2 linked regions of the Bombyx mori genome follow. The protein of the gene in region 1 purifies or fractionates together with the protein of each later gene. This does not show direct contact. Links are inferred from orthologs where the notes say so. Each region holds a gene or a part of one and is shown on either strand. Other genes may lie near its edges. The genes, in order: protein-L-histidine N-pros-methyltransferase and proton-coupled zinc antiporter SLC30A1.

The links.
Region 2: the proteins of protein-L-histidine N-pros-methyltransferase (region 1) and proton-coupled zinc antiporter SLC30A1 purify together in Homo sapiens (co-immunoprecipitation; 3 studies listed by BioGRID and IntAct, with this or other methods). This does not show direct contact. The link is inferred for Bombyx mori from reciprocal best matches to the Homo sapiens genes METTL9 and SLC30A1.

What each region holds. Positions count from the first base shown.
Region 1 is NC_085117.1:14,603,609-14,607,446, forward strand, and holds part of protein-L-histidine N-pros-methyltransferase, read left to right. Parts: intron 1-2,724; coding exon 2,725-2,915; intron 2,916-3,838. UniProt on the Homo sapiens protein: Protein-histidine N-methyltransferase that specifically catalyzes 1-methylhistidine (pros-methylhistidine) methylation of target proteins.
Region 2 is NC_085119.1:13,207,500-13,211,337, reverse strand, and holds part of proton-coupled zinc antiporter SLC30A1, read left to right. Parts: intron 1-3,312; coding exon 3,313-3,535; intron 3,536-3,838. UniProt on the Homo sapiens protein: Zinc ion:proton antiporter that could function at the plasma membrane mediating zinc efflux from cells against its electrochemical gradient protecting them from intracellular zinc accumulation and toxicity.

The sequences.
Region 1 (3,838 bases):
GTTCCTGTTTCATCCATTTTTCTGAGTACAGCATTTCGGTCTGCAGAAGGTACGTACATACGTCCAAGCGATCTGCATCCCGGCTGATCCTATTTTAATGGAGCGCCCGGCAAACAACCTCCGAGCCGCTTACTGGAAAATCCATTGGGATTCTATGCGCCACTTAGCTCGCCTACTATACCGTGCTTGGTTTCACATAATCTATATCTATACTAATATATAAATCTACAGTGGTTTTTACGGATGTACCGTTATAACTACTGAACCATGCATCCGATTGACTTGAAACTCGGTATCCATGTAGAAAATACATGTACTTAATGTATAGGCTAAAATATTTATATGGGTGTTGGACTCCCTACTCCAGTTGCGGGGGTGTTAATGATGAGAATCTTTGTGGGGGTGAGAAATAATAATGTTAATTTAAAATGCCCAGCGAAGCGGACGTGTACCTACAGCTAGTACATTACAAAATTACAATTTTTTTATCTTTTTTTTGAGCCACATTAAATTAAACTAAAATTAAAATACACATATAAATAGTACAATCTTTTGATGGTATTGACCGAGCGGACGGCTAGCCGCAGGGCAGAGTAAATGTGAATGTCTTAAGACGTTTGGTATTGCACCATTTATCTTGCACATTTAAATGGGAATTAATCTGGCATTGTGCAGCTTGAATGTATTCAACTTAAGTATTTCGCTTCATATTGACAATATGCTTACACAGAGGCGTTTGATTCATTAGCTCGAGGCAAACGACCCGAGGATAAAGAACCTTCGTCCTTTCGCTCCTTCGATGGATGCACCCCGACTGACCCGCGTTAACGAGATAACAGAACATAATGAACGTATTGAAGAACTGAACGAACTGAAAAAGGGCAAAGATTTATCGAAACACAACAAAATTGTATCCTAATTCCGATTCTAATGCGTCATTTCAACTACGGAAGAACGGTAACCTACATAGTCTGTAAAATAAATAAAAATTGACGTGACCTCGATAAGTCGCCGATTGAATAAATCATTGTCGATTTGTCTTTCCCTAACAGGTAGATTTTTTTAAGCGGGGACATAGTTATTCATGCAAATATAACTTACACGAGCAGAAAATGAATCTTAAACATGAGTCTCATAAATAATCGGGCCGAGTGCTTCTTATCTACATAATAGCAAAACAACAAGTGATGTGTAGTCTATAGACTATATTATCACGACTAACACTACACAGTTATGTCTCAATAGTTAATGCGGTTTTAAAAATGTTTAATTTATATTTTAGATACGATATTAATGATTAGTTCACGTAAATGGTGTGACAAGCTCGCGGGTCGTGATGTTTAAGATGTTAACGTGTCCCAAAAACATCGCAACTTGAATGACACCGCTTAAATTTAGGCATGATATTTCGGTGTCAATTTCATTGAAATAATGTCTATCCTTCAAACTAGAACGCTTGACTGCTTCCCGGCCGTAATCCCTAATCGAAACATAAGATAAATAATATAAAATTTGCGAAAGAACTAAACTACATACACATATACTCTTACAATATAGTACACAATGAGACGATCATTAGCCCTTTTTTTCTTTATTTAATTATGTAGAACCGTAAATATTGAGCAACGAACGGACAGTAAATAGACGTCAGAGACGATTCTTTAATCATGAATGGTTTCAGAATTCAAAATTTTCCACAATTTGTATTCCGTCTGGAGAATTCGCTTCGACGAATCCCGTGGTTCCGATGCAGGCTATTTTAAATGTAAAGAAGGCGCATTGCATAATCACCAACGTGATTCGCTATCAGTATTCGGTACTAAATATTTATTTTCCTTCATTTTTTACGATACTTTTTTGCGGTACGTCGTAAAATGTTCTAGATATTGATGGTTTTATATTTTATTATACAATGGGGTTGGGTCCAAATCGTATGGTTGTTTATACACTACTCTTTATAACATTTACAAACTTTGACATCATCAATTTATCTTTAAATACTTCTGGACCAAGAAGAATGTATAATAAAAGTATTTACGTAACGAATGTATGTTCTAAAATAATAAATGCATTATCGCTACATATTTATTACAATTATTTGTTTTATTATACGGCAAAGTCAAAGAAAGGAATAAAACACGTTCCTAAATAAAAAATTAATGTTTTTTTATTGTTGAGGAATACGAGCTATGGATTGGTTCAACTCACACTCCGAAACATCCCAAAGTTTTTGTACGTCCTAAGGTAATACAAAGACAGATCTGGCATTAATTAAGTTGGCCTGATGACTCGCCGCGCTCCCGGTCTCTCGCCGCGCCGTCATTACATGTAAAGGCGAGGATTTTTTTTAATTCGTCATTATTCTGTGGCGTAAAGAAATGTTAATTCGAGGCAGCGTGAAATTAACAGCGGCCGCAATGCCCTTTGTTAGGGCCGCGGCGGCCGAGTTAAACACACAACGGATGACGATCTACAAGCTCCTCTCGTGCTATCTTATTTGCACTCGATTACATTTTTCTGTCTTTCGTTAAGATTGGCCCTGAGATTTGTTAAACATCAATTTGCTTAATGCACCTTAGCCGTAATGACCATTCTCATTTGTAATTTGTCTTACCTATCATCATGAAACATTATTTAGAATATAATTGAAGCCAGTTCTCGATTCGATTTTTAAAACAATTAAATTCTCATTGTTCAGGAATAAAGTTAAATTATTTATTACAGTGGTACCGAGTGAATCGAGATCGGCTAAGTCCAGAGCTGCAGCAAAAATTCGTCCAGCTTCACCCTGATGAAGAGACGAAACAATTTCTCTCTGCCTCCATCGAGAAGTCGTCTTGGGTCTGGACGCAGATCTGGTATCTTCTAGCCAAAGCTGTTTTGAAACGTTTCTGGTCGATAACCGACATCAATGGGTAATTTTTTGGAACTTAATTTTTTCCTAATCTTAAAACTACACAGTTTAATTTAATCGGAATTCTTATTGAATATCGATGTCCTAATCGGTTATAGTCGCTCGTGGGCATCAGCAATGACAAATGCATGCATGCGTCTGCCTCATGTTTCAAACAATGTCCAGTGATCGTTTGATCAAAATATATAACTATATCATGCTGACTAGTATAAACGCTGTCAAAAACCGAGCTTCAAAAAACGCGATAAATATAATCTACGCATAAACTGTTTTGTTAAAGTTTGGTAAAATATTGAAAAAGGCCAGGACATGAGCTCAAAGCATTCCTCGTAGAAGAAGAGACCTCTTTCCGTAGACTCGGAGGTTCCATATAATGCAAGTTCTCTATTACGTACGTCGCATCAAATACAAGCAGCAGATCCATACTTTTTAATTTAAAAGTAATGAATCATATCTTTCACAAACGATGAATTGCCATTTGAATGACGACAATGGTCCATTATTAAGTGCGTCCAGATTCGTCCAATTACGCCAATTACAATCTCCCGGTAGCTGTATGTACTTAGATACTAACGCATGTATTATTTCCTCATCCATTGTGTTGTATCTGCACAAATTAACTAATTCGTGTCGTTCACGCGTGGCTGGGAGTTTATCGATGTTTCAAAATATCGATAAAAACAATCTATTGTAATAGAAATATGACATGGTGAAACTGGAAAGGCCTCCGGGCCACCAGTAAGTAATCTTTAAATCATAAAAAAAAATTTTTACATAGATGACATTAAATAAAATAATAATAAAAACGATGTTTATGAAAGTTAAAAATGTTTTTGATAGTGATGATTGATCTCTTTAAGCGCCCCAATGAAGTCAATAAAAATATACCAATTTACCAACAATAGCTCCCATCAACTCAAACGA
Region 2 (3,838 bases), on another chromosome or scaffold:
TAAACAACTCTCAAACCTATATTCTCCTTTGCGTGCTGTAAAATTTTTAAATCTGTAAAATTAGTACGACAGTAAAACTTTGACAATCACTGGTGCTCTATATAATTTAGATATTGTCAACAAAATGTGGCCCAGTTTAATATATTATGTAATTAAAAAAAAACCGTAATTACTTGCAGTAGGAAGTGTCATATGAGCAGTCAGGTGTCAATACTGTGTATGTGTTTATATACATATATATAATATTTTATTATTATTTTTCTCTTACTCTCAAAAAGAAATGCACATACCACAGGACTCTCTACATCAGTTTTTGACTGGTAGAGACCTTAAGTCCGTCACAGTCTTTTTGTTCATAAAGTTAAATAAATAAATACTACTGTTTTGTCTATCTCTACCGCAAAAATATCCTGTGATTTTTTTGTGAGATAGTATAGTTGATACTCAAGAGCTTATAGCATCGCAGAAGAGAAGAGGTCGCAAGATAGAGAATTCTTTATATGCGGTTGGTATGTTCCAGCATGATATCATGGGATTTTCGACCTCACTTCGAATGGTGGCTTGCGGAAATATTCGCTTTCTGTGTGCTTAGTGCGAGCTTTTGAACGTTCTCGATAGCGTAAAAGTTAGCTGTATGGAATGGGATCGTTTACCTACGTTTGCCGTTAGGGGCGCTGTTTCAACTGCATACAAAATTGGGTTAACTCTTACGCTATCGAGAACGTTAAAAAACTCGCAATAAGCACACAGATATTTGGATTTTATCTATGTATGCACTACTAGGTAGACCGCTCGTTGAGTTATCGATGCCAGTCAAAAACCAAACGTTGAATCCATTTTAATTGCTCGCTTATCTATTAATAAATCTGTCAATGTTAATCACATTCCAACACGTGATTGGTGGTCACCGATTCATTATCAATCGATACGTATTTAGATTAGTACTTAATTCTTAGTTGCACAATGCAAAGATAATTTTGTATGGGTGCATTCAGAACTGAATAAAATCAATGAAGATCAGATTTCGTAACGACCTACTTTAGGTGATATTTTAAATAATATGCGTATTGCTGTGTCAATTGTTGGCCAAAAATCACGTATTGATTTTGCAATTTAAAATGAAACTATGAATCACACGTGACCATTTTTGTTTAAGGATATTCATGTTAATTTGATTCGTGCTCTATTTTTTTTGTATAAAATTATTTTACGGTTAACTGTAAAGCCTACTCATTTTCGAAAGTATATGTGTAAACAGAAATATTTATCTATACTTCTATACTAATATTATAAAGAGGAAAGATTTGTTTGTTTGTTTGTATTGAATAGGCTCCGAAACTACTGAACCGATTTGAAAAATCCTTTCACTGTTTGGAAGCTACACTATTCCCGAGTGACATAGGCTTTAATATTCTTTGAAAAAATTAGGGATCCTTACTAAAACTCCAATAATGTAACCCATGGTGTAAAAAAAATACCTAAAATATTCTTTACATCGCGTACCTTGCGAAAACTGCGAGACAAGAACAAATAGACAATAAGCCTATCATGAAATTGTTTAACAAGAATACAGACTCCGGAGTTGCATGCATGCCTCGCGGATACTGTAGTTAAAGTCACTAAACCTATGAGGCAAAGACATAAAGGGGATGGCCCATTTTCGGCCCAAAGCGGACAATAGATTATAGAAAAAATACTTAGTGCATTAATTTTGTCATAAATAAATATGCATTTAATTTCTTGCAAATAAGCGCCACTACAGTTTACAATAAGTAGTTTAAAAAAAGTAACTCTATTGAAAAAACAAGGATTTTTATTTTTGCGGGAAAAATATTGCCAGCTTCAAATCCTTTTACGTATGAAGTAAATATTTTGAGTATATAAATAAAACATATAAATAAATCATTTTAAGTATTATCATTAATCAAACGATTTTAATGGATTTTATGCACATAAAATAACATCGAAGACATACCCATTGGACTTTAACTTGTAACTATACTTGAGACCTTAGAACTTATATCTCAAGGTGGGTGGCGCATTTACGTTGTAGATGTATGTGGGCTCGAGTAACCACTTAGCAACACCAGGGTGGCTGTGAGCTCGCCCACCCATCTAAGCAATAAAAAAAACTTTACTAGTATTGTTATTTAAATATGTACAACTAAAACAAAAACATAAAAAATAATGTGTACTCGTAAAAAAAAGATTAAGATATAAATCAATTATCGGTTATTTAAAAAAATAATCGATATATGAATTTCATGTAATTATTTTTCTTTATACTGACAACACTGAATTTAATCTGACTGACTGACACTTCGCTTGCTGCTTGTGGTGTTGTGCTTGCGTACAAAATGGATTTGTTTTGATTTTTCTTCGATTTATTTTACTTTTATCAATAACGTTTCATACTACGACTAAAAAACATTGTGTGAATTGTGGTTTTACCCTGACCGAGATTTAAAACCGTGTATATGCTCTCCTTTGCTATTTTTAGATGATACTAATTGTGTATGAAGATGAAGAAAATATAGATATTTAAAGAATTAAGTGTGTTTTTATACCCTATTGGATAAAAATAAATTAGGAACATCTTAAACATTAAGAAAAGAAAAGTTCTTGAAGTATCTCACAATCCGACACTTATTTATATAGAAAATTAACCTCAAAACGAGTTTTTATTTTTATTATATTTTTTATAATAGTGGCGTCAATTTCAATATATTTTTTAGATATCCAATACATTTAAGAATTTGAATCAGTACATTTTTATAGTAATATTTGATGTCCATCTTGGGCCTAGCACACTATGGAGAGTGGGCAATCCCCTTTTCTGTTGATAATGCGAGCATCAAATTAGTGTGTACATTTACCTATAAATTGTCACTTGAATAAACGCACCACTTAGTTATCATAAGATCATAAGGTCTTTGAACGTTTCGGAAAGCATCGCCTTAGCCCTGGCATAGCTGATGTCCACGAGCGCCGCTGACTGCTTTTTTTCTTATTGCTTAGATGGGTGGACGAGCTCACAGGCCACCTGGTGTTAAGTGGTTACTGGAGCCCATAGACATCAACGTAAATGCCGCCGCCCACCTTGAGATATCAGTTCTAAGACCTCAGTATAGTCACAACGGCTGCCCCACCCTTCAAACCGAAACGCATTACTGCTTTACGGCAGAAATAGGCAGGGCGGTGGTACCTACCCGTGCGGACTCACAAGAGGTCCTACCATCAGTAAAACTTACCATCAGATGGGCTGTTTGCTTGTGTGCCTACAAATAACCATAAATATTTCGTTTCCTATAGATGTCACCAAAGAAATGGTCAAAGAACACTTTCGGCTGGGCTCGTGCTGAAGTTTTGGGCGCTCTCGTGAACGCAGTATTCTTGGTGGCTCTTTGCTTCAGTATTACAGTTGAGGCCGTTAAGAGGTTTATAGAGTTCGAAGTCATACATAACCCGAAACTCCTTGTCGCTGTCGGCAGTCTAGGTCTACTGTTGAACATTATAGGACTTTTTCTGTTTCACGGTAAGTAGCCAAACTCTATTTAAGTTTATGTATCTTCGATTAATTTTCTTTTTTGTCTCCACTTTATCCCACTAGGTGGGGTCGGCACATCGAATTTTTCTATTCCATTCTCTTCTATCAGCCGTCATCTCAACACTCACTCTTTCTCATATCGTCATTCACACACTCCATCCATGTCTTCTTCGGTCAACCTTGCACTGCCATTTCCATACATCTCCTAGTGACATGCATCTTCTCTCTACGTATCACATGTCCATACCACGCTAATCGTTCGCTCTTTAATTTATCAATCACTAGGGCTAC